Linked DNA regions of Drosophila melanogaster. The gene in region 2 interacts genetically with the main gene of each other region. Each region holds a gene or a part of one and is shown on either strand. Other genes may lie near its edges.

The links.
Region 1: of Zw (region 2) and Pdha, changing one suppresses a phenotype caused by changing the other (phenotypic suppression), as found in Drosophila melanogaster (one study listed by BioGRID).
Region 3: of Zw (region 2) and Idh, changing one enhances a phenotype caused by changing the other (phenotypic enhancement), as found in Drosophila melanogaster (one study listed by BioGRID).
Region 4: of Zw (region 2) and Traf-like, changing one suppresses a phenotype caused by changing the other (phenotypic suppression), as found in Drosophila melanogaster (one study listed by BioGRID).

The regions. Positions count from the first base shown.
Region 1 is NC_004354.4:4,700,325-4,705,803, reverse strand, and holds Pdha (pyruvate dehydrogenase E1 alpha subunit), read right to left. Parts: upstream 3,480-5,479; 5' UTR 3,273-3,479; coding exon 3,213-3,272; exon of another isoform or gene 3,113-3,212; coding exon 2,912-3,112; intron 2,250-2,911; coding exon 1,685-2,249; intron 1,610-1,684; coding exon 1,287-1,609; intron 1,217-1,286; coding exon 1,034-1,216; 3' UTR 539-1,033; downstream 1-538. Other genes in the region: CG7024 (uncharacterized protein), read right to left, coding at 118-240.
Region 2 is NC_004354.4:19,665,651-19,672,891, forward strand, and holds Zw (zwischenferment), read left to right. Parts: upstream 1-1,601; 5' UTR 1,602-1,951; coding exon 1,952-1,970; exon of another isoform or gene 1,971-2,096; intron 2,097-4,071; exon of another isoform or gene 4,072-4,417; intron 4,418-4,689; exon of another isoform or gene 4,690-4,763; intron 4,764-4,833; coding exon 4,834-5,093; intron 5,094-5,155; coding exon 5,156-5,373; intron 5,374-5,458; coding exon 5,459-6,536; 3' UTR 6,537-6,703; downstream 6,704-7,241. Other genes in the region: et (eye transformer), read right to left, coding at 6,986-7,241. UniProt on the Drosophila melanogaster protein: Cytosolic glucose-6-phosphate dehydrogenase that catalyzes the first and rate-limiting step of the oxidative branch within the pentose phosphate pathway/shunt, an alternative route to glycolysis for the dissimilation of carbohydrates and a major source of reducing power and metabolic intermediates for fatty acid and nucleic acid biosynthetic processes.
Region 3 is NT_037436.4:8,355,860-8,360,822, reverse strand, and holds Idh (isocitrate dehydrogenase), read left to right. Parts: upstream 1-1,882; 5' UTR 1,883-2,165; coding exon 2,166-2,267; intron 2,268-2,697; exon of another isoform or gene 2,698-2,750; coding exon 2,751-2,807; intron 2,808-2,887; coding exon 2,888-4,168; 3' UTR 4,169-4,419; downstream 4,420-4,963. Other genes in the region: Culd (CUB and LDLa domain), read left to right, coding at 4,615-4,818, 4,881-4,963.
Region 4 is NC_004354.4:16,413,518-16,418,115, forward strand, and holds Traf-like (TNF-receptor-associated factor-like), read left to right. Parts: upstream 1-1,528; 5' UTR 1,529-1,906; coding exon 1,907-2,068; coding exon of another isoform or gene 2,069-2,139; coding exon 2,140-2,568; intron 2,569-2,637; coding exon 2,638-3,046; intron 3,047-3,101; coding exon 3,102-3,217; intron 3,218-3,277; coding exon 3,278-3,586; 3' UTR 3,587-4,068; downstream 4,069-4,598. Other genes in the region: CG4301 (uncharacterized protein), read left to right, coding at 1-112, 177-503, 570-783; AnxB11 (annexin B11), read right to left, coding at 4,313-4,378, 4,439-4,507, 4,564-4,598.

The DNA.
Region 1 (5,479 bases), about 15 Mb from region 2:
AACATTTTTCAGAGTACATAATTTAATTCAAAATGAAAAATATAACTTTTACGATATAGCTTTTTTCAATGGTATTTACTTATCCATTGACCTTCTTGTGATAATCAAAACACTTACGTTCTCCAGGGTCAAACAGCTACATTTGTGGCGCCCTATTATCCTGCAGAGCATATTTCTCTCGAGGATGGAGTGGGCTCCACTGCATCTCATCGCCACGCGGACACAACTGAACTTCATCATTGGCCCTTGCCCGAATACCAATTCCCAAACACCGGGGCACTAAAATGAGCTTGTAGCCAAATGGGCAATTGCCACGCACTAAAATTTTGAATATGATCGGAAATTGTTGAAAAATGGATTTGTACTCAACCGAAAAGAAATCGACAGTAAAATCATAAGCAAATCGACAGAGATGGCAACTGTCACTAAACAGAACGAGAAGGAAATATAACGATTTTGGGATTGCTTATGGAGCTGACAACTGCTCCTTTTCAAATACTACTTTGATTCGAACTGTAATTCTTCCACAAATCGAATTATCTATTAAATCTATTCCGTTTATTAATATCTTATAAATCTATCAAAATTCTATAGTGCAAGTATAGGTGAAACAGACTGAGATTTTCACATTTCAAAAGTACATACTTGATTCACTTTTGTTAAGAAAACTAATTTGGATTAATTTTTCTAGATTTTTATATTTTCAACAATTTACACCTCGCTTTATCCTTATTGAACACGTTCGCAATATAATATCCAATGCAGTACCCCAGAGTTATGTGGTGCGCTACGATGTGTGGTTGGAGTGCTCCGATTAGCTAAGCTTTTTGTGGGTCTCTTCGGATCCGTTCCGTTCTACGGGGTTCTCATCGTTCAACTTTCGGCTTATGATCTAGAGATTTCGCTTGTGTCCAAGTTTCTGAGTTATTGTGTCTTCTTGTCTGTCTGTCAGTGATTTGTGTTTGCTGTTCGGTTTTCTTGTTTCGTTTAAGGTTCTTGTGAGTTCCCGAATCAGATTCGTTGGCCCGATGACTTAGTGATTGACGCCCTTGCGCTCCTGGATGTGATCAATATCGTAGGCGATGGTGCCGCGCAGCTTGGGCTCCAGATTGTTGGAGTACACGTCCGTCCAGAGGTGGCTCACGCCCAGCTCGGCATCGGACTTGGCGAAGGCGGTGGCCTCGTCGACCTCCTTGCGTACCTTCAGATCGATGGCCTGGAAGATGTTTTTTTCTTTTAGCAATCATAACTCATAACAAAAATAAAACCCTATAAGCCAAACCCACCTTAACTTCATCGGTGGTAATCAGACCCAGCTCGATGCACAGCTCCTTGAAGGAGGTGATGGGATCACGCTTCTGGCGCACCTCCTGGATCTCCTCGCGTGTGCGGTACGATGTGCCCGGATCGGACATGGAGTGTCCAGAGTATCGGTACGTGTTCGTCTCCATCACCAAAGGTCCGTGAGTGTTCACATAGTTGATGGCGAACTCGGTGGCGCTGCGCACGGCCAGCACATCCATGCCGTCCACCCAGATTCCGGGCAGAGCGTCGCCGCGGGTATAGTAATCAGTGTTGCAGGAAGCACGCTCAGAACTGGTGCCCATTCCTAATGGGTATAATTATACAACATTTGGTTTAAGTAAATATCTTTTAGCATTGTTCCACTTTCTACAGCACTCACCGTAGTTGTTGTTCTCGCAGACAAAGATCACAGGCAGTTTCCACAGGTAGGCCATGTTGTAAGCCTCGAACACCTGTCCTTGATTGGCGGCACCATCACCGTAGAGGGCCAGGCACATGCCGCCATTGCCCTTGTACTTGCAGGCCAAGCCAACGCCGGCACCCAAAGGAACTTGAGCACCCACGATGCCATTGCCTCCGTAGAAGTTCGGTGCGTACATGTGCATGGAGCCACCCTTGCCGCGGGCACAGCCACCCTGGACACCGGTGAGCTCAGCCAGTACGCCGCTGGGTGAGACGCCCATCAGGTAGGTCCATCCGTGGACACGGTACGCCGAGATGATGTTGTCCACATCCCGCATCGCCGCCTTCATGCCAACGGCGCATGCCTCCTGGCCGGAATACAGATGACAGAAGCCGCGAATGATCTTCTCCTTGTACAGATTACCGGCGGCCGTCTCCAACCGACGGATCGTCTGCATCTGTGTGTAGTACTTGAGGGCCTGATCCTTGGTCAGCTTCACTTCCGTGGCGGGTCCTTCGTCCAGGCGGTGCAGCTTGAAGGGCTGCAAAGTTGGAAAGCATATTTAGAATTTAGATCCCTAAACTTCATTAATTTTAAAAACGTTTTCTACTTTTACATTAACAACTGACACACACATCTGATAAGAACGTAACGGAAACGTTTGGAACGCATGATAAGTAATAAAATGATAGCAGTTTGATTGGATAAACCAAATAACCATAGGCTTCAAGCTTCTCTAATCAAAGTATACTAATCTATAGAGAGCTATAACCACATATCGAGGATTTTCGGAAGTATGCTCCAAAAACCAAATTTGGATTTATGGCGGCTAATTTATGGCGTGAGAATCGACGTAAACAGAGAGCCAGACAGACAGACGGAGAGAAAGAGAGAGAGGGTGAAAATCGGCGGATCGTTGATAAGACTATATGTTATATGGTGCGTGAACAGTCACGCGTCGGCCACGCAAAAGGCAGACGGTGATAAAGAGCGTGGGAGACGGAAAACTACAAATTACTGCGTGACCTTGTCATTTGAAAATGAGCGGATTGACCGGCAAAATGCAACCCTGCACTTACACACACACACACACACACGCAAACCGTTTGCTATCTGGCGAAAATCGCATTATGTAACCGTATTTTTTCCCTTCCGACTTTTGAATTTTCCTGAGTTACAAGTACTTAATGCTATAATACGCACCCGATTCACTTGAACGGTGGCCTCCGTGGCATAATTGTTGGTTTTCGAAACACCTGCTTGGGCTGCATTCTGGAATAAACCGAAAAACGACGATGAATATCTCCCATTCCTGATGATATCGATGCTGCTGTTGTTGTTGTTGTTGCTAAGTATCCGACATCCGCTGATGATGATGTTGTTGTTGTTGTTGTTATGGCAACGCTTTTAGTGTTTTCATTATCGAATGGATTTGTTCAATTGCATTTTTAGTGACAACAATTAGAAATGTTAGTGGGTGCAAAGCGGGATTGGGATTACGTACTTTTTGCAGTTGCTTAACAATAATGGGCAATTCGCTAACGCGTGACAGAGTACGCAACATTTTCGCTGTGTTATTCTCGTTCGACTGACAGAAATTGGATGTGAATGGGGGCTTTCTATATGCGGATTGTCCGGATCTAGAATCGCACGCTATATATCTGGTGTCTCAGTCGCACCGCCGCGCGTCGTTGTAAGTTAAACAATCGGAAAAAAAGGTAGCGAGATTAGTTTATCAACTACTATATTGCACAACTATAACAACCGTTTGGCGTTATAGCGAAAAATAACGCACCACTTGGCCTATTAGTGTGACCCTAAATAAAATACTGCAGCTTTCCCTGTTTTCAAAAAATACTAAATTAGCTTATCGAACTTTCTTTTTCAATATAACTTGAAATATAAATGTTTACGTAAAATATTCAATAAGCTTTTATATAATGTGTCACACAATGTTATATCAAAATAATAGTAGTGTTTGGCGGTTATTGAAATACTCGAATAAATACTTACTCAATCACATTTTATATTACTTTGCCGCCCAAATAAAACGAGGGTTTTCAAAGAAGTACTTTTATTTCACATTGAAGATCTCATTTGGTTTTTGTTTGCTTTCTCATTTCTTACTCGTATTGTTACTTGAAATTGCCTCCATAAATCCACATTTGCGATTGCAGTTGCAATTGCAATACTGCTCTATATCGCACTCAGCTCACATAATTCACTAATCTCTTACAAAAACTTAAGTAATGTTTGTTCCTTGCACAAAAAACCAGTTAAATAGAAATAGGTAAAGTAGAATTAAACAGTTAAATTCAAATAAACGCTTTACAAACTAAGATTTTAAACTAGTTTTTGTATTTGTTGGTTTCTCGGTTTGTTGTTTCATTTTTTTTTTTTTGCTTTAGAAATGGCAGCTAAAAGATTTGAGTTTAAAAGTTACTAACGGAAAATGAGGAAATGGATCGATCGTTTGGGAAAAACTAAGCGAATGAAATAAATTTTTTACTTTCTTTTATCTATCTTTTGCTCTGTTACCGTTACACATATTCAATTTTTCGCGCGTTTTTCTGTTACATCAAAAATTGGTTTCTCACACAAATATTTTGCATTATGACAAAAAATTATGCTTTGCTTTGTTTTTTGTTTTGTTTCATATGTATACATGTACATGTATATATATATATATTTGTATGTATAAACACTTATTAGAAGTCCTGTTGTGTTTTTGTTTCCTTTCCCGTTAGAAATCCGGCATTCCGATTATAAGAAAAAAATTTAGTTTTTCTCTTCGTCTTCTTGTTTTTGCGAGTGCTTGTGTGTGTGTAAGTGGGGGAGGTGTGTGTGTGTGTGGGTGAGAGAGAGAGAGGAGGTTCTATCTTACCGTTAGCATAAATAGTTTTGTGTCTACGCAAAAACGTGCTGAGCAATAATCTAAAACGCAATAGCTAAAGAGAGAGAGGTGCTGTATGTGTGTGAAAAGTAACGGTAAATGTGTGTGATTTCTGCATATGTCTTCTGTTGTTTTCAGGAAATTACGTATTAAGCTTCTTATTTTTTTTGGTTGTTTTTAGTAGGTTTTACTTAGGTTCTTGCTTAATTTACACCAATGTTTACTTTATTTTGTATTTCTTGCATGAATATATATATTTACTTTTTGGTTTCCTTGTTTCTTATTACTGTTCGCTTTCATTCCTTGAAATTTGCCTTTAAATTGTTACTGTTCTTCTGTTTTATATAACATAAATCCGATTCGGAGAAACACATAGCACACACTTATATAAACGACAAGATGATAATTATTTATTTTGTCTTTGCTTTTGCTTTCGACTTTCTCCGCCTTTTTGTTTTATTACTGCTTGCACACCACCCTCATGACCTCCCTAACCTGGTTTTGACCTAGAAAGTCTTAGTTTTAAAATTCATTAGAATAATCAAATAAATAATAATTACTATGTTATATCAACTATTATAATTCTCCCTATCTTTTTTAGGATTAAAAATCTGTTAGTCTTAAGTAACCAAGACACATTGTAAAATAAAATAATTTAAGCAGATCAAATTAAGTTGCCGCATGGGTAACAGTGCGTTGATCAAATAATAAAAACATCATCGATAAAAAAAAAAAAAAAAAAAAAAAAAAAACTGCTTGCAGTTTCTACAAAAATTTTTGTTGCATACTTTGCTGCTGTGGATGGACAATACATATACACATACACATAATATTTGATTTGCGTGTAATTTGTTGCTGCTATGGTTTTATTGCAATGG
Region 2 (7,241 bases):
CCACACATGCAAGCAACTGGCTAATGAATTGGAATATAACACACAACCAATGACGACCATTTCCACACGGCTGCCCCCCAAAACCCCTGTAGTAGTATGTGTACGTGTCCGTATTCCTTGTAATTTCGCCCGTCGACTGGGGGTCTTATCACAGGCTCTCGCTTCCCTCAGCTGGCGAAGGCGCCGACCATCTGACTCCGACCCGTTCTCCCGTTCGGCCGCTCTGCCGCTCTCTTCGCCCGGCTTTGAGTCCGATTCGGACTCAGATTCGGATTCGATTCACATAAAGTGAAATCTCGCATCGTGATTGTGTGAATGAGCATGCACGCCAGAGAGCCACACAGGGGCGGAACGGTCTGGGCCCTCGCGGGCAGGGGCCGCGTTTTTTAATTTTACACAGTTTTACCAATTGTTCAGACAGGGCAAACCCGACCGACCTTGGTTGGGGCTGTGCGTTTTAAACCAAAGGCAAAGGCCCGCAACGGGCGCTAGCTTGCAATAGAAAATAAACAACAGGGGAGTTGTGTTCACTAAGGATTGGAATAAAAGTGCACGCCAATTTATGCCGGTTTCTTGTTGACGGCCTGTGTCACATTTACCCTGCGACCTCAAACCTGCCTAGGTCTTCTCTTCGACGGAAATACCATTGATTACGTCTCATCCCACTGCTACCTCGGAGTTCACCTTGATCGGACGCTGAGTTGGAAAGCCCTTATCACGGCTCCTGGAAACTGAAAAAGCTGGACTGGGTTTTCCACTCAAGCAAACTCCATATGGCAACTAAGGCTCTCTTAATAAAAGCCATATCCAAGTGTGGGGAACAGAGTATTAGAGTAAGACAATCGGGAGCGGCACGACATGCATCTGGGCTACATGTGGTATGTGAGCAATAGAGTTATTGAAGGGGACTTAAAAGGTGTCCCATTGGGGTACCAAATAAACTTCCATAGCAGCCGATATGCCGACAGACTTAGCGCCCACTTAAACACGTTAGCGAATGATCTTGTCGACCCTATTTCCCTCCGATGTCTGAAGAGAATACATCCCCATGAACTCCTTACACGTAATATAGCATAATCTCTCCTCGGTACATTTGTATACACTATAATTAAGGAACAGAATCCATAATATCTTTTAAGCTACACATTAGGTTAACTTCAGAAGGAACTGATCGATTCCTACTGACTAATGAATAATAATAAATGATTTAAACTCTAAAAAGAAATGTTGACGTTTGCTCGTTTTCACTGACCAAATACGACGTGATTCTAGGTAGGATTAGAAATTGTAAGGGTGTTGTTTAGTAATGTGGGAATCATAATTCTAGCATAATTTCATCATTAAACTCATCAACGCATCAGATCAATGCTCTCAGATTAAACAGTTTTATTTCCATGTTATACTATGATATCGTATTATTTGTATATTTATGTGTTATCCATCAATTCCATTCACATGTAAATCCAGATCGAATGGGCCCCCGCGCGCACTGAATCCGCTCCTGTCTGCGATCAGCTGCGCAGTCGGGGTTACAAAGCGTCTGCTGCTTTAGCTGTTGTTGCTGGTGTGTTGGTGTTGTTGCCATTGGCAGTGCTTGCTTGGGCGTTTGTTTGCTGCGGCGGTTCGCGCCGCGCTTCAGTCAGTCAGGGAACGATCGTGCTTATCTTCATTACTACTACCGCTTCCACCGAGGCTTCGCGACTCCGTACCCGTACTCGCTTTGTTTTACGTTTGCGCTACTAGTTAGTGAATCCGACGACGACGACCTGCGCGTGCGATTAAAGCGCCGCAACTCTTTGTAATTACACAGCCAGAGCCGCAGAGGTTGCTCAAAATCCAGCGACTGGAGAAATCGTATATCGAGTTGGAAATCCGAATCGAAAGGCTTGCGTATACATAGTTGTCACACTTTTGCTTTTAAACAGAAAAATCCATTCACATTCGGGTCAAGATGGCAACGCAAAAGGAAGGTGAGTATCGCAGCTTTGGGCAATTGGTATCGAATTGGATTCCACACCGCGTACTGTTACCAATTCGATTTTCGGGCGCGTACTTGCCGCGATCACTGTCGCGCCAGGTGGACTGGCTTTCCAATCGGAATCCGATTGCGAGTGCGAGAGCCAGTGCCAGTGCCAGTGCCCGTGCCAGTGCGCCCTTCAAATGTGCTCTTCGCCTGGCACTGGGGGTCACCTACAAAAAGCAGAGGACGCGGACTCGGCCGACTGTCTTCTTATCACAGGAGAGGCCACACCGCTGCTCCGCTCCCGCACCCGCACCGCTCTCTATCATACTTTCATACTTCCACTCTCCACTACCACTGGCCACTCTCCACCTGTCACTCTTACTCTCACTCCTCCACGCCTACTACTCACTCCCCCAACTACCCATCCAGCCGAGCGATGACGTGTGGGCGCCGCTCTTGGCCATCGGACGGGCTTGGATCCGAGCGGCCAGCTAAAACAAACACTCGCTGCGTGCTCCAAGATTAGAACCCGGCAATAGCAATAACCTTTGGCGGCAGCGCGAACTCTCCAGTCCCCAGTCCCCAATCTCCGTTCTCCACTCTGTGGCAATGACATTGGAACGCATGCATGTGTACATTCTACGCACGGTTAATTAGCTGCCCACCTGCGTTCTACACGAGAAGCCTTTCCAAACAGAAACCAAAAAAAAAAAAAAGAAAACAAAAACAACAGCGGACAACAAATGCAAACTCGCTTGGCGTTAATAATATTCAAACGCGTTACCTTGCTCACCGCCTATTACTTTCTCCCTTCTCCACTCGCCCTCTACATTCGGCTGCTCTCCATTCTCCAATCTCCATTCTCCTTGCCCCAATGCCTTCGCTTCGTCTGTGTCAATGTCAAATGCGATGCGGCCGAGATTACAGTCGAGCTTCGATAAGTGAAACCAAGCTGAGTCAAGCAAAAATGCGAAGACTTGAGCAAGCAAGGCAAAACAAACGGGAAATTAAGACATATGGCAAACTCAAAAAAAAGGTTAAAGTCATTTATGTTCCTGCTAGGCAAACACCACTGTCGGCTTGTGACTCACAATCTCGGCATTTGAAGGAGCTCGCTAGCCTCTTAGTCACCATCCATCCATCCACCAGCACCATCCAACTCACTGGCTGTGTAATCTTTCGAAGCTCCTACAGCCGAAAAGTATGCATTACCGGCGTTCGCAGAGATCGGCCTCGGAATTAGGGTTAAATTCCAGCTCAACTCATATCTTCGGAGAGCCCAGGTAGCCCGCCGTAGAATCACGTGATTCACCGAGACCCATCCACTTCGACATTTAAACGACTCACAATGATTCTCAAAAACGAACGCAGTGCCCCATGATGTTTCCAGAAGCTCATATTATCGAAATCTATATTTTATGACACCGTGACAGTGCCTGCATTAGTGGCTCGCAACCCTTTTTAAACGACACACAATGATTCTCAAAAACGAACGCAGTGCCCCTCCTCCATTCATTTTCCAAAAGCTCATTATATCGAAATCTATGTTATGACACCGCGACAGTGCCTCCATTATTGGCTCACAACCTTTTTGAAACATTTTCCGAATGATTTTCCTATGACCTCTAAGATACGAACGTGCACACATTCAAAATCGGGGAGCTTTAGGTTTTCAAGATTTTGAGATTTTTGAACTTTTGAAAAAGTCTATCTACATACTCGTAGTTATTTTTAGAGATATACTACAGAGGTTTACTAAAGGCTAGTTACTAGTTTGCAAGAACAGTATCCCTAGTAGATCACATAGCAGCAGATCAAGTATATATCATCCATTAAGCATACAACACTGTAATCTCTTCCGATCTGTGCGGGAAGTGATGCCATCGTGGGTTCATCTGATCATCCGACCGATCGCATTCCCGCCACGCGATCGACTGATGCTGCCCGTTCCGAAGCCAAGTTTGGATATACGGTGAATAGTGATGTATGTACATACATACGTCCGGAGCACTTGGCTTGCACTTTGTGCCCAAGTTCGCCTCGCCGTCGACGTCGCTGCCGGGTTCATCGCTTACACCTTGTTAAAGTCGACCGCAGCGCGGCGATTTATTCGTTTTGTGCAACCGCATCGGAAGATACGCGCGTGCACCTGCTCCACCTTTTACACCTGGCCAAGCTTCCGCCACCTAACCCAGTTCCACCTGGCCCAGCCCACAGCTATCCGGGCATCAATTAGCGCCCGCTGCGGAGGTTGACCTCTGGCGGATTCTTTGGCCAGTCATCGGGATCGAATCGAATCGAATCGAATCGAATCGGATCGGATCGGATCGGAGTTGATTAGACAACGGACCCCGGTCTTATCGAGTGCTTATCGCTCCCCCTTCCCTTGACATTGAATAGGCCTTCAAATAGTCTGCATTCGGGCCCAGACCATCAGTTGCCTCCAGGCCCTCGGTGAGTCCTCACGCAGCTCATTCTGACCAACCAATCACCAACCATACGGAGTCGATGAGTCCCCCGGTGATCTATGCAAGCCAAAGGGCAAGGTCACTGAAAATTCCCGCACATCCTAAAGCTGATAGCATTTTTTTTGTTTTTCTCACTGTGCAACTAACAACTAAGAAGTAGAGAACCCCTATACCATTCTCACTTTATAGTTTAGCAGTAAAAGCAATGCATTTAAGGAAGCTATAACTATTTCTAGTTCATTTAGTTCCCTTTGATAAAGTTTTGACAGTTGAAAAAAGTTACTTAGTGAAAAAAACAAGTAGAAATTCCTGGATATCCACAGAGCCACAGAGTAATAGTCTTAAGTGGAATTCAAAGCCAGAGTAAGCCTAACCAGATCCGCCTTTCATATGTGCCCACAGATCACACCGCCCTGGATCTCATAATCAAGTCACTCAAGTCGCCTACAATGGTCTGCGAGGGAACCCACTTTGACGGCAAGATTCCGCACACGTTCGTCATCTTTGGGGCGTCGGGCGATCTGGCCAAGAAGAAGATCTACCCCACGCTCTGGTGGCTCTACCGCGATGACCTGCTGCCCAAGCCGACCAAGTTCTGCGGCTATGCCCGTTCCATGCTGACCGTCGATAGCATCAAGGAGCAGTGTCTGCCGTACATGAAGGTGCGTTCGGGATTTGGTCATAGGCCATTTGCATCGCATTAACCCAACCCATTGCCACACAGGTCCAGCCGCACGAGCAGAAGAAGTACGAGGAGTTCTGGGCCCTCAATGAGTACGTGTCCGGCAGATATGACGGACGCACTGGCTTCGAGCTGCTTAACCAGCAGCTGGAGATTATGGAGAACAAGAACAAGGCCAACCGCATCTTCTATCTGGCCCTGCCGCCCAGCGTCTTCGAGGAGGTGACTGTCAACATCAAGCAGATCTGCATGTCGGTCTGGTGAGTATAAGATCAAGATCAAGATCCAGATGCATTTAATTTGAAACCCGATACTTATGTACACCTATAACCCGTTCGCTTGCAGCGGTTGGAACCGCGTGATTATCGAGAAGCCTTTCGGCCGGGATGACGCCTCCTCGCAGGCGCTGAGCGACCATCTGGCCGGTCTGTTCCAGGAGGATCAGCTGTACCGCATCGATCACTACCTGGGCAAGGAGATGGTGCAGAACCTGATGACCATACGCTTCGGCAACAAGATCCTCAGCTCGACGTGGAACCGCGAGAACATCGCCTCCGTGCTGATCACGTTCAAGGAGCCCTTCGGCACGCAGGGTCGTGGCGGCTACTTCGACGAGTTCGGCATCATACGCGACGTGATGCAGAACCATCTGCTGCAGATCCTCTCGCTGGTGGCCATGGAGAAGCCGGTGAGCTGCCACCCGGACGACATTCGTGACGAGAAGGTCAAGGTGCTGAAGAGCATCGAGGCCCTGACGCTGGATGACATGGTGCTGGGCCAGTACCTGGGCAATCCGCAGGGTACAAACGATGATGCGCGCACGGGCTACGTGGAGGACCCCACCGTTAGCAACGATTCGAACACGCCCACCTACGCCCTCGGCGTGCTCAAGATCAACAACGAGCGCTGGCAGGGAGTGCCCTTCATCCTGCGCTGCGGCAAGGCGCTGAACGAGCGCAAGGCGGAGGTGCGTATCCAGTACCAGGACGTGCCCGGCGACATCTTCGAGGGCAATACGAAGCGCAACGAGCTGGTCATCCGCGTCCAGCCGGGCGAGGCCCTGTACTTTAAGATGATGACCAAGAGCCCCGGCATCACGTTCGACATCGAGGAGACGGAGCTGGACCTCACCTACGAGCACCGCTACAAGGACTCCTACCTGCCGGACGCGTACGAGCGTCTCATCCTCGACGTCTTCTGCGGCTCCCAGATGCACTTCGTCCGCTCGGACGAGCTGCGCGAGGCGTGGCGCATATTTACGCCCATTCTGCACCAGATCGAGAAGGAGCACATTCGGCCAATCACCTACCAGTACGGATCGCGCGGTCCCAAGGAGGCGGACCGCAAGTGCGAGGAGAACAATTTCAAGTACTCCGGCTCCTACAAGTGGCACGGCGGCAAGGCGGCCACGTCCAATCACTGAGCGTTTGGAGCACACCAATCCCCGGGCTGGGTTCGCAGGATACTCCTCTCTGTCCGCACGTACATGTACATACATACATATATATGTATATATACATATATGCATTCTTTGGTTATTTGTAATTCGGTCTGTACAAGATTTTTTTTTATTAAATATACAAAATAGTGTTTAGCTGGAGCAGAACGATCTTCTAACTCATAATCCCGGCTAGTTCGATGTGTATGTGGTGATGCCGATCGCATGCGTGTCGATGTACATAAATAGATCCTTCATAGGATGGCAGATGGGTGGCAAACGTAACCCTACGGTTGTAATACTAACTAAATAATGAGTATGCTTCTGGTCAGTGGGCTTCGGTGCTGAGCCGGGCTAGTTACTAGCGGCTCCTCTCGAATATAGATTTACAGGCGAACTACAACAAGAGCGGGCAGCAATCTTCCCGAGAGATTTCAGCGCACGGGTGGCGGCTTGATGTACCCATCGCCGCAGGGCGCGCCTATTGCGCTCATGGACACATACTGATTGGTTACGTACGCATCGGCCTGGGGCACGGGCTGTGGTCTGGGCACCTCCTGCAGCTCTATCTCCGGCCACCTCGTGGGCTCCTCTTCCGCAAATGTCACGGTTTTGCGCACTGTGCCGTAGAACTTCTCCGGCGGAACATTGGCGGGATAGAACAGGCGTACATCGCCAAGTGGATTTGCT
Region 3 (4,963 bases), on a different chromosome or scaffold from region 2:
CTAAATTCGGCATTTTAAATATTCTAAAAGGTAAGTGGAGCATTTGTTTAGCCTTATATAAACCGGTTCACACTCCACGCCAAACACCCACACTTCCGATCGCATTCCGCCCAGCTATTTACTGCACTCAAAGGCTGACTTGCAATTTATCTGAGCAAATAAAAAATGGTGGATTTCCAGATCGGTTGCAATACGTAAATTTGCCGCAATTCAAGCCTCCTTAATGCAAATAAGTTGCGCATTTTAACTTTATGCATAACCTCTGGCCCAACCTATTTGGGCCCGAACTTTCCCCACCGGTCTGTTTTCATATGCATTTTATTTGTCTGCCGCTGTTTTGTTTTTTTCTTTGCACCGGTTTGCCTCCTCGAAAAAGAGAGATACGGATAAAAAAAGTGTGAAGAGACGACAGTGTGAAAGAGGGGGATATATGTGGAGAGAGAGAGACACGTAACCCATTCGACAGGCCTTTTCACATCCACCTGATTCTCCAGGTGCTGTCCAAAGTTTAATCTTGAATTCGTGTCGACAGTTTTAATTAAACCTATACAATTACTATGCATATCTACAAATAGATGGTTCGAGAAAACCTCCAGATAGCTCGTATCTCATTGGGACTTTTGCATGCACAATTTGGAAATGTTTTTAACTTTCTAAGTTTGTCCTATGTTTTGAGTGCTTAAACAACTTAAACAGTCGACGTTTATTTTTTTCATTTATCAAACTAGAAGTCAGATCTGAATACAATTAATTACTATAATTAGATTATCGTAAACTTATATTTGATAAGGATAGATGGACTCTTTTATTAACTTGTCAGTCGAAAAATTAAAACCATAATTTTATTAGGTTTTCTTTTTTATTTCTAGCGAATTTTGTATTAACAGTTTCATAAAGTTCAAGGGTCAAAAGTCATCATGCAATCTTTTTATTTCAACAATAAATATTTCTGGGACTAGAAAAACACCAGATGAGAAAATATCAGATTAGATCTAGATAATTTATTCGCCCCGTCATTACCAGCTTATTTACCAATCGCAAGTCTTATCAATATCGTACTATGTTCGAATTCTCCCAGTTGGACTAGAAAAAAAAACGCTTGTGAAATTCGTTTGGTGAAAGCATAAATATTGTTATTATATATAATTGTGGGCGTGGCCTCAGCTTATGGCGTGTTCGGCGATCGCGCCACCTCAATATGTTAATTAGGTACACATGTACCTATAAAGACTTAGAGATATTTATATTAAAGTCAGACAATGGATCTATTAAATATGAGAAGAAAAATCCAAAAAAACATCACGCAATTGCTATTTTAATTTGGAAGTAAATGGCATTGACTGAGTAGATAAGAATGGTAGACGTTTCAAGATAATCAGAGCGAGCCTCCTTCGCAACAAAAAAAAAAAAAGATTGGCGCCCAAGTTCAAATATTATCTAAGCTTTAACATGTCAGTTCGACTATCGTTATCGATAGTACCGCACGTACCAGCTGATTTTGAATTCGGGTGAAGTTGAATAAATAAGCTTAATGCCACGCGCTTTTCTAATTTGTATTCCTTATCAAAACAAGTCGGCCGTGAACTTTAAATAAAAGTGGCTAGCCCGCAATAGTGGAAAAGTTTTTCGCCAGCTGATAAACGCAACAGTTGTCATTCGGAAGAGAGGGACAATGCCACCCGCAATGCGAAAGCGATTGACAAGTCAGCCGGCGATAACGATTACATGTTTACGCGTTCGCCGAGTGCTTATTGTTTTTTATACTCTCGTTACATTATTAATTAAAACACTTGCTTTTAAGTGTGCCGAGTGTTGTGAGAGCAGCTTATCAAAGTCCGAGGTTCTAAATCTTATCTGACTGGGCATTTAGAACGTTGTGATTACGCCGATTGCGCAACAATTTGACGATTGTACGCCACCCAAGAGAGTCGGAAACTGTAGCGCTTAACGGCACTTTACAGTTATCAGTTACGGTTAGAGCGCGTCTGACGCCCACAGCATTTAATTTTGCTTTGTCCGAAAATTGTTCTCTTTCCCGGGACTCCAGTGTCATATTGTCTCGTATTGTTTCACATTGGTGACAAACACTATCGTCTCTCGTTTCCAGTCGTCGGTCGGTTCATTCATAATAATAATACCCACATCCACACCAATCCGGTTGTAAAATGTTCGCCCTGCGCCGCACAGCCGCAATGATGACGTCGGTCCACCGGCAGCCGCATCTCAGCCAGGCCGTTTTTCGGGCCAATTTCGCCATCAGCGCCGCGGTAGGTCCTCCTTGTATCCTCGCCCTCTGTCGCTCTAAATCTCTTTGCTTACTAAATTTCGGAATAGGGTGGGTCGATGAGCAGGAGAAAAAGATATTTTGAATTTTTTGAAGTCGGTCTCAATATTAAGATTATAAACAATCACGTAGTCACCTGTGCTGCTAGCATCCGATAAATAGGATTACTATATTTACTGTTTATACAAAAAAATTGAACAATTTTTTCTTAAATTTATAACCTATGAATGCAAAGTAGAGATATTAACTTTTAGGCAAGTACCTTAATAATTACGTCGTCACGACGAAATATTAAATATTACAAAGTAAAGATAAGGGATTACTTTTGAAACACGGTGTATTTTAATTTCCATCCATCAATATCGACCCACCCTATCCCAGGCTGATCAAAGTTTACTTTGCTTTGACCAGTTGTCAGTTTATTATCGTCATACATATAAGTTTCGCCTGTATCGCCTGTGCTTAGGACCCCAAAACCCATAAGATATCCATGGATAATGAAAGGATGTCCGCCGTGAGCGAGGTGAATACCCCAATACCGCAGCATTCAGACACAAATCCATTTTTCATGTAGCTAATAAGATTCCCATCCTGCCCTTCAAGCACTCAAGTGTGGTATGCTCTCCCGAACAGATGGCCCAGAAGATCAAAGCCGGTCCCGTTGTGGATGTCCTCGGTGACGAGATGACCCGCATCATTTGGGACTCCATTAAGAGCCAACTGATTCTGCCCTTCCTGGACATTGAGCTGCATACCTACGATCTTGGTATTGAGAACCGCGATAAAACCGAGGACCAGGTCACCATTGACTGTGCTGAGGCCATCAAGAAGTACAACGTGGGCATCAAGTGCGCCACAATCACTCCCGACGAGAAGCGCGTAGAGGAGTTCAACCTGAAGAAGATGTGGAAGTCGCCCAACGGTACCATCCGTAACATCTTGGGAGGAACCGTCTTCCGTGAGGCAATCATCTGCAAGAACGTGCCCCGTCTGGTGACTGGCTGGCAGAAGCCTATTGTGATCGGTCGCCATGCCCACGCCGATCAGTACAAGGCCGTCGACTACGTGGTTCCCGGACCCGGCAAGCTGACCCTCACCTGGAAGGGAACCGACGGTCAGGTGATCGATGAGGTCATTAATGACTTCAAGGGCCCCGGTATTGCCCTGGGAATGTTCAACACGGACGATTCCATTGTGGACTTTGCCCACGCCTCTTTCAAATATGCTCTGGACCGCAAGCTGCCGCTGTACATGAGCACCAAGAACACCATTCTGAAGAAGTACGATGGACGCTTCAAGGACATATTCGAGGACCTGTACAACAAGCAGTACAAGAAGGAGTACGAGGCGGCGGGCATCTGGTATGAACACCGTCTCATCGACGATATGGTTGCTTATGCCATGAAGTCGGAGGGTGGCTTCGTGTGGGCCTGCAAGAACTACGACGGTGATGTGCAGTCGGACTCCGTTGCCCAGGGCTACGGATCTCTGGGTCTGATGACCTCCGTGCTGCTATGCCCCGATGGCAAGACCGTGGAGGCTGAAGCCGCTCACGGAACGGTGACGCGTCACTTCCGCTTCTACCAGCAGGGCAAGGAGACCTCCACCAACCCCATTGCCTCGATATTCGCCTGGACCCGTGGCCTGCTGCATCGTGCCAAGCTGGACAACAATGAGCCACTGAAGCAGTTCGCCGACACCCTTGAGCAGGTGTGCATCGACACAATTGAGAGCGGCGCCATGACCAAGGATCTGGCCATCTGCATTAAAGGCAACATCAACGCCGTTACTCGCAGGGACTACCAGGAGACTTTTGAGTTCATTAACACGCTGGCCAAGAACCTGGAGGGTGCCCTGGCCAAGAATGCCGTTGCTGCCAAATGACTATCCGGCACTCAGTCCGAGCAGCAGGCCTCGCATCTCTAGAAAACTACTCAGCGATGCCTTGTCCTCGTCACCATATTCACAATATTTCCATTCGTTTTTGTAGATGTGCATGTCCTAGGCTAAAAATCCGTGTCCTCGATGCATGTTTCCCACTGTTTCATTGTCTCTGCGAGACGCAAAAAAAAACCCTGATTTCCCTTTAACGTCTAACGGAAAAGAAATTTCAAATAAATGTATTTTTATACCGGACTCGAGAGGTCTTTAACCCAGTCGAGGGTGGGCTCGTTACGAGGCCCGGTCCACTTGTGCGGCTTCTGATGGCTCTGGGTTTATTGGATTTGCCAGCGAAATGGCCACAGTTGTGTTCTAACACTTGGCGGCACCAGACCGAGACGGTTCAAGCGGAAGGGGCTCAGGATCCTGTTAGAAGGACGAAACTATCGATGCTAGCCGAAGCATTGGGCTATGGCTACCTGCTGGCCTACGTGATCTGCCTGCTCTGCTGGCCAGGAGAGGCGTATCCCGCCAGCAGTAGCTACCGGGATCTGGATATATGCAATCATTGGGACGGAAGACGTCACTTCCTGGAACTGGGAAGTCCAGCTGGAGAGGTGCACGCCAGGAATGTGACTACTACTGCCTATAGAGTAAGTGTATTTACAAGCTTCTCCAGACGGGATTTGGTCAGCAATTATGAACTTAAAAACAGAGCTCGCCGCTGGTTTTTAAGAACGATGCAGTGGCCGGGGATGTGTGGTACCAGTGCAGCCTGGAGCTGGTCACCTGTGCCGA
Region 4 (4,598 bases), 3.3 Mb from region 2:
CCTCCGTCTACGATTCGCTATTCCTTACCTTGTACAATGTGATATACACCTCGCTGCCCATTTTGTTCATAGCTATCTCCGAGAAGCCATACACCGAGGAGAAGTTGATGAGGTAACAGTGGGTTCAATCGTTTATATGTATAATGTTGATGTTACTAAAAATGCAACTTGAACAGAACGCCACAGCTTTACAAGAAGAACACGGACAACAAGCAGCTCCACTGGCCGTACTTCCTGATGTGGGTCCTATTTGCGATCTACCACAGTGTCATCATATTCTACTTCGCCTTCTGCTTCTTCTACTACAACAACGTTCTCCTGAACTACGGACAGACGGTGGCCTTCTCCTGCTTCGGCACCCTCCTCATGTGGACGGTGGTGGTGGTCGTGAACCTTAAGCTCTGGCTCGAGTCAATGTATCTGTCCTTTTGGTATATATTCACCATTATCATTTCCATTTTGGGCTTTGTAGTCACAACGGTTATCTACAACGTTATCAATCTGTGAGTTCATGGCTACGAATGTATCCATTTAAGGTTTAAACTAATATGTATATGTATTATTTGCAGGGACTACGACACCGACATCTACTGGGCCTACAACAATCTGTTGGCCTCACTGCCAGTCTGGCTGTGGATCATAGTGACCTGTGTGGCCTGCCTGGTACCCGACTATACCATCCGAATGCTCCAGAGGGCGCTCAACATAAAGAGTTTCAGCATTTTTCCCGGAAAACAACGGAAACTTAAGATGCGCGAGAAGTTTGAGTCCACATACTTGTAATCGTCGATTAGGCTATAGTTTTTATACCCCTAATTTATTTATTTCCTCATGTATACAATTTTTTTTTTTTTTGTTAGATAAACAAATTTTTGTTAAACGTTTGAACAATAGATTTGATTTCTGACCACCACCTTAGAGGTAGGAAAGTATCTCAACTTCCCAAATGGAGAACCTTGAAATCGTATGCTAACACTCGCAATCAACTGGGAAGTACGACATTTTAGGCTGATAACATTTTTATCATAATCTCGGCGACTTATTGAGAGCAAGTGCAACTACACTTGGAAAAATGGTTCGTTTACGAAAATGCTGGGTTTCAATACAGCTACACGATACAAACATCTAATTAATAAAGGATTTATTTAATATTTTTCCTACATCGGATATTGTTTAAAAATATATACGAAAGTATATAGCCCGTTTTTATCACAGTTTAGCCGTTGCCCCACTTTTGATACCATAAAGTAGGGCGGCGAGTCAGTAAATGTACTTCAATCCCGATCCACATATGTGTACGTAGGGCACCTGTTGGTTCGGCCATACCCACTGCCACGCCCACGATCACTGCCGCCCACCACATTGTTATCTAGTTGATGGCGTCGTTACCATTTGCATTGCCGAGGCAATGGACAAAGTTTTGATTGTGAAGCCCGTTTTTCATTGATAATGTTATCTCCACTCGCATTCCGAATATGTTTGTACAAGGGGAGCTAGAGATATGAACATTTTGCAGGTACATATGTGGCCATATAGTCGCTGGAAGATCTGGTGACGGTTACGATTTTAGTGGATTCTCGGTGGCTGTGTTTTCCTGGTCGTAGTTCGCCAAGTTAGTGGTCAATACGATTCGTTGGTTGCTCTCGCATTTCGAAATAGTGGTAATCGCACCAAATGGCAGTGCTATCAGTTCGAGGTTGTCGTATAGATTCCCATGGACGCCCTAATGCTAACACATGTGCAAAGCTATATCTAAACCATGTCTGTGTGCGCCGCGTATGACTATGCCCAAGGAAATTCTTAATCATTTTTGGCTGAGTTTAGTGTGCATAGGGCGGTGCTCGCAGCGCCAGAGAATTTGCTGATCCAAAGTTTCAATCGAATTTGCTTTCCTTTAATCAATATAATGTCACTGACCAAGTCGTCGTCGAGAAAGGATCTAACCGAGCAGAATCAGTATCAGAATCAGAATGAGAATCAGAATCAGCCCAAATCGACGACCATAGTCAAGTATGAGAAGTCGTCGTGCCTCTTCTGCAACGAATGGTTCGATGCCCAGACATTCACGGTTATAATCGTCCAACTTTTCAGTTCACCTTTGATTACTATTACATTACTCCTCTTTGGATGCGACTGCAGGAACACCTGATCCACTGCGGCCAGGTGCTGGAGGAGTGTCCCAACGGCTGTCAGGCCTTCATTCCACGCATCCGTATGCGATCCCATCTGAAGGAGTGTCCACGCAACCAGCACAATCTGAGCAATCAGCAACGCATGAGTGTCAGCATGGATCGCCTGGATAGGCAGTCGGATCAGCGTCTCCTGGTCATTGAACAGGACGTGGGCACCATTCGGTCCGTTCTCAACGAGGAGATACGACAGCGTTTGCATCTCATTACCGATGTGGGCAACATACGGAAGCAGAACCAGGTCGTCGAGGACTGGACCCGCGAAACCGAGAAGGCAATGGACGATCTGCGTCGCCAGATGGAGGAGGAAACCAATCGGAAGGCATTCGCCATCGAACAGAACCAGCTGGATGTCCAGTACTGCTGTGATATCACACAGGTTAGTTAATGCTACTTTATTTAAATATATATATACTATCTATCTTTAATGTGCATATCTCCGTCGAAGTCCTTGAAAGAGCAAGTGGAGTCCAGGCTGGATGAGGCCCAAAAGCTGGTCAATCAGCTCTCGGCGGACGTGACCTATCACCAGAATCAGCTAAACGACAATATCCTAAAGCTGGAGGAGCTGATCTTTGAGAACGAGCGGCTCAACAGGGAGAAGTTCTTTCAGATCGAGGAGTTTCTGCAGCAGATCAATGAGGACATCAAAACAAAGCTGGGCAACAGTGACTATGTGACGTCAAAGCAGGCCACATTGGACTATGAGGTGAAGAATGTGAAGAACATTGTGTGCGAAACGGAGGAACGTTGCGATAAATTGGATCGAGCACTTCACCAGACCATGCAGAATATATCGGATTTGGAGACCCAAATGGCCATGCAGCAGCGGATTGCCAGTGTCCAGAATATAAGGGGTACATATTGTTGGTTCAATATAGTAATTTAAATATATAATATCTGGTCGTACAGGACACTTGATTTGGCGCATCAAGGATTACTCGAAAAAACTGGAAGAGTCCAAGCAGTACGACACCATCCTCCATAGCGCCATGTTCTCCAATAAAGCCTTTGGCTATGCTCTACGGGTGAGTTGAGGTTGGATCTTGGTTGGATATGCCATTTATATATGTATACCCCATTACTAGCTGGATATATACTTGAATGGCAAGGGCACCTGGAAGGGCAGGAACATGATCGCCTGCTTGAACGTTCTATCCGGAGAGTACGATCCCCTTCTGGCCTGGCCATGCCGCCTTCAGGCCGAGATCATCATCCGGGATCAGTGCACGAATGTGGCAGATGCCGAGGATTATGTGAAGACCATCTTTGTGCGCAAGAAGAGCGATGATTTTATCCAAAGCAACCAGTACTTCCATATACCACACAAGGTAATCACCAGTCGCAACTATCTTCGCAACGATTCCATGTTCATCGAGGTTCGAGTTCTAAAATAAAACCCATGCAGCATCGCTATCCCACCCACCAGGAGCGATAAGAAAAAAAAAATCCAATTGCGGATTGTCACATACATAAAACATAATTTATTCCATTGAGAGCGAACTGGAAGTTAAAAACCCGCTTACAAACACGAGTATGTGTACATATATAGTGTATAAGTGCATACGAATCGATTCATCGTTTCAATATGCGTATATTGTAGTTTTAAATGTCATTGCAGTTTTAAATGCTTTTTTTCAAATTAGGCAATAGTCACATTGAGGCACTGTCGAGACGAAGTCGGTAGTTAGAAAGCATAGCTTTTATTGCAACATTTCCCTGGTCACTTTGTCAAGATATAAGCAACTCTTTCATTTTTTGGTTTTTCATTTCGAGCAAATTAACAAGCGATTTTTGAGAGGAACTTCCATATTATTTGTCTTTACGAACGCATTTAAATACAAAGGTCTTTTAATAAAATACAACTTCAACACTTGTCAACTGTCGGTTCCCATGTTCATTTCTTTGAAAGAGGTATCAAATGTCTGATCCCGTTCAGGTATTATTTGTGTGCACTTATAGTCTACGTTGTGGATCATAATTGTCTGGCTTCGTTGGCGTGTTCTTGTATGTTGTATGCATTTAAATGAACGAATACATAGAAGAGATAATACATATTCGAATAATTGATTTCACGTCGGATTTGGTTTGAATAATACATATATATGTATATGCGGAGATTCTTAAGAGGAGCGCTGTTCACCCACCAGGGCATAAAGGGCGTGCTTGTAGTGGCCCGAAGTATCGCCCTGCAAGTAGGATTTTATATGATTATAGAATATAGATATAGATAGATATATATATCTTACCTTGATCCAGCTCTTGAGGGACTTGCCGTACAGACGTTCGAACGCTACCTTAATGTCCGTCATATCAATCTGAAAAACGTTGCAACATTTTAGGGTTGAATGATATTATATATAGATGTACTTACCTCGCTGCGCGTGATGATCACACGGATCAACTGGG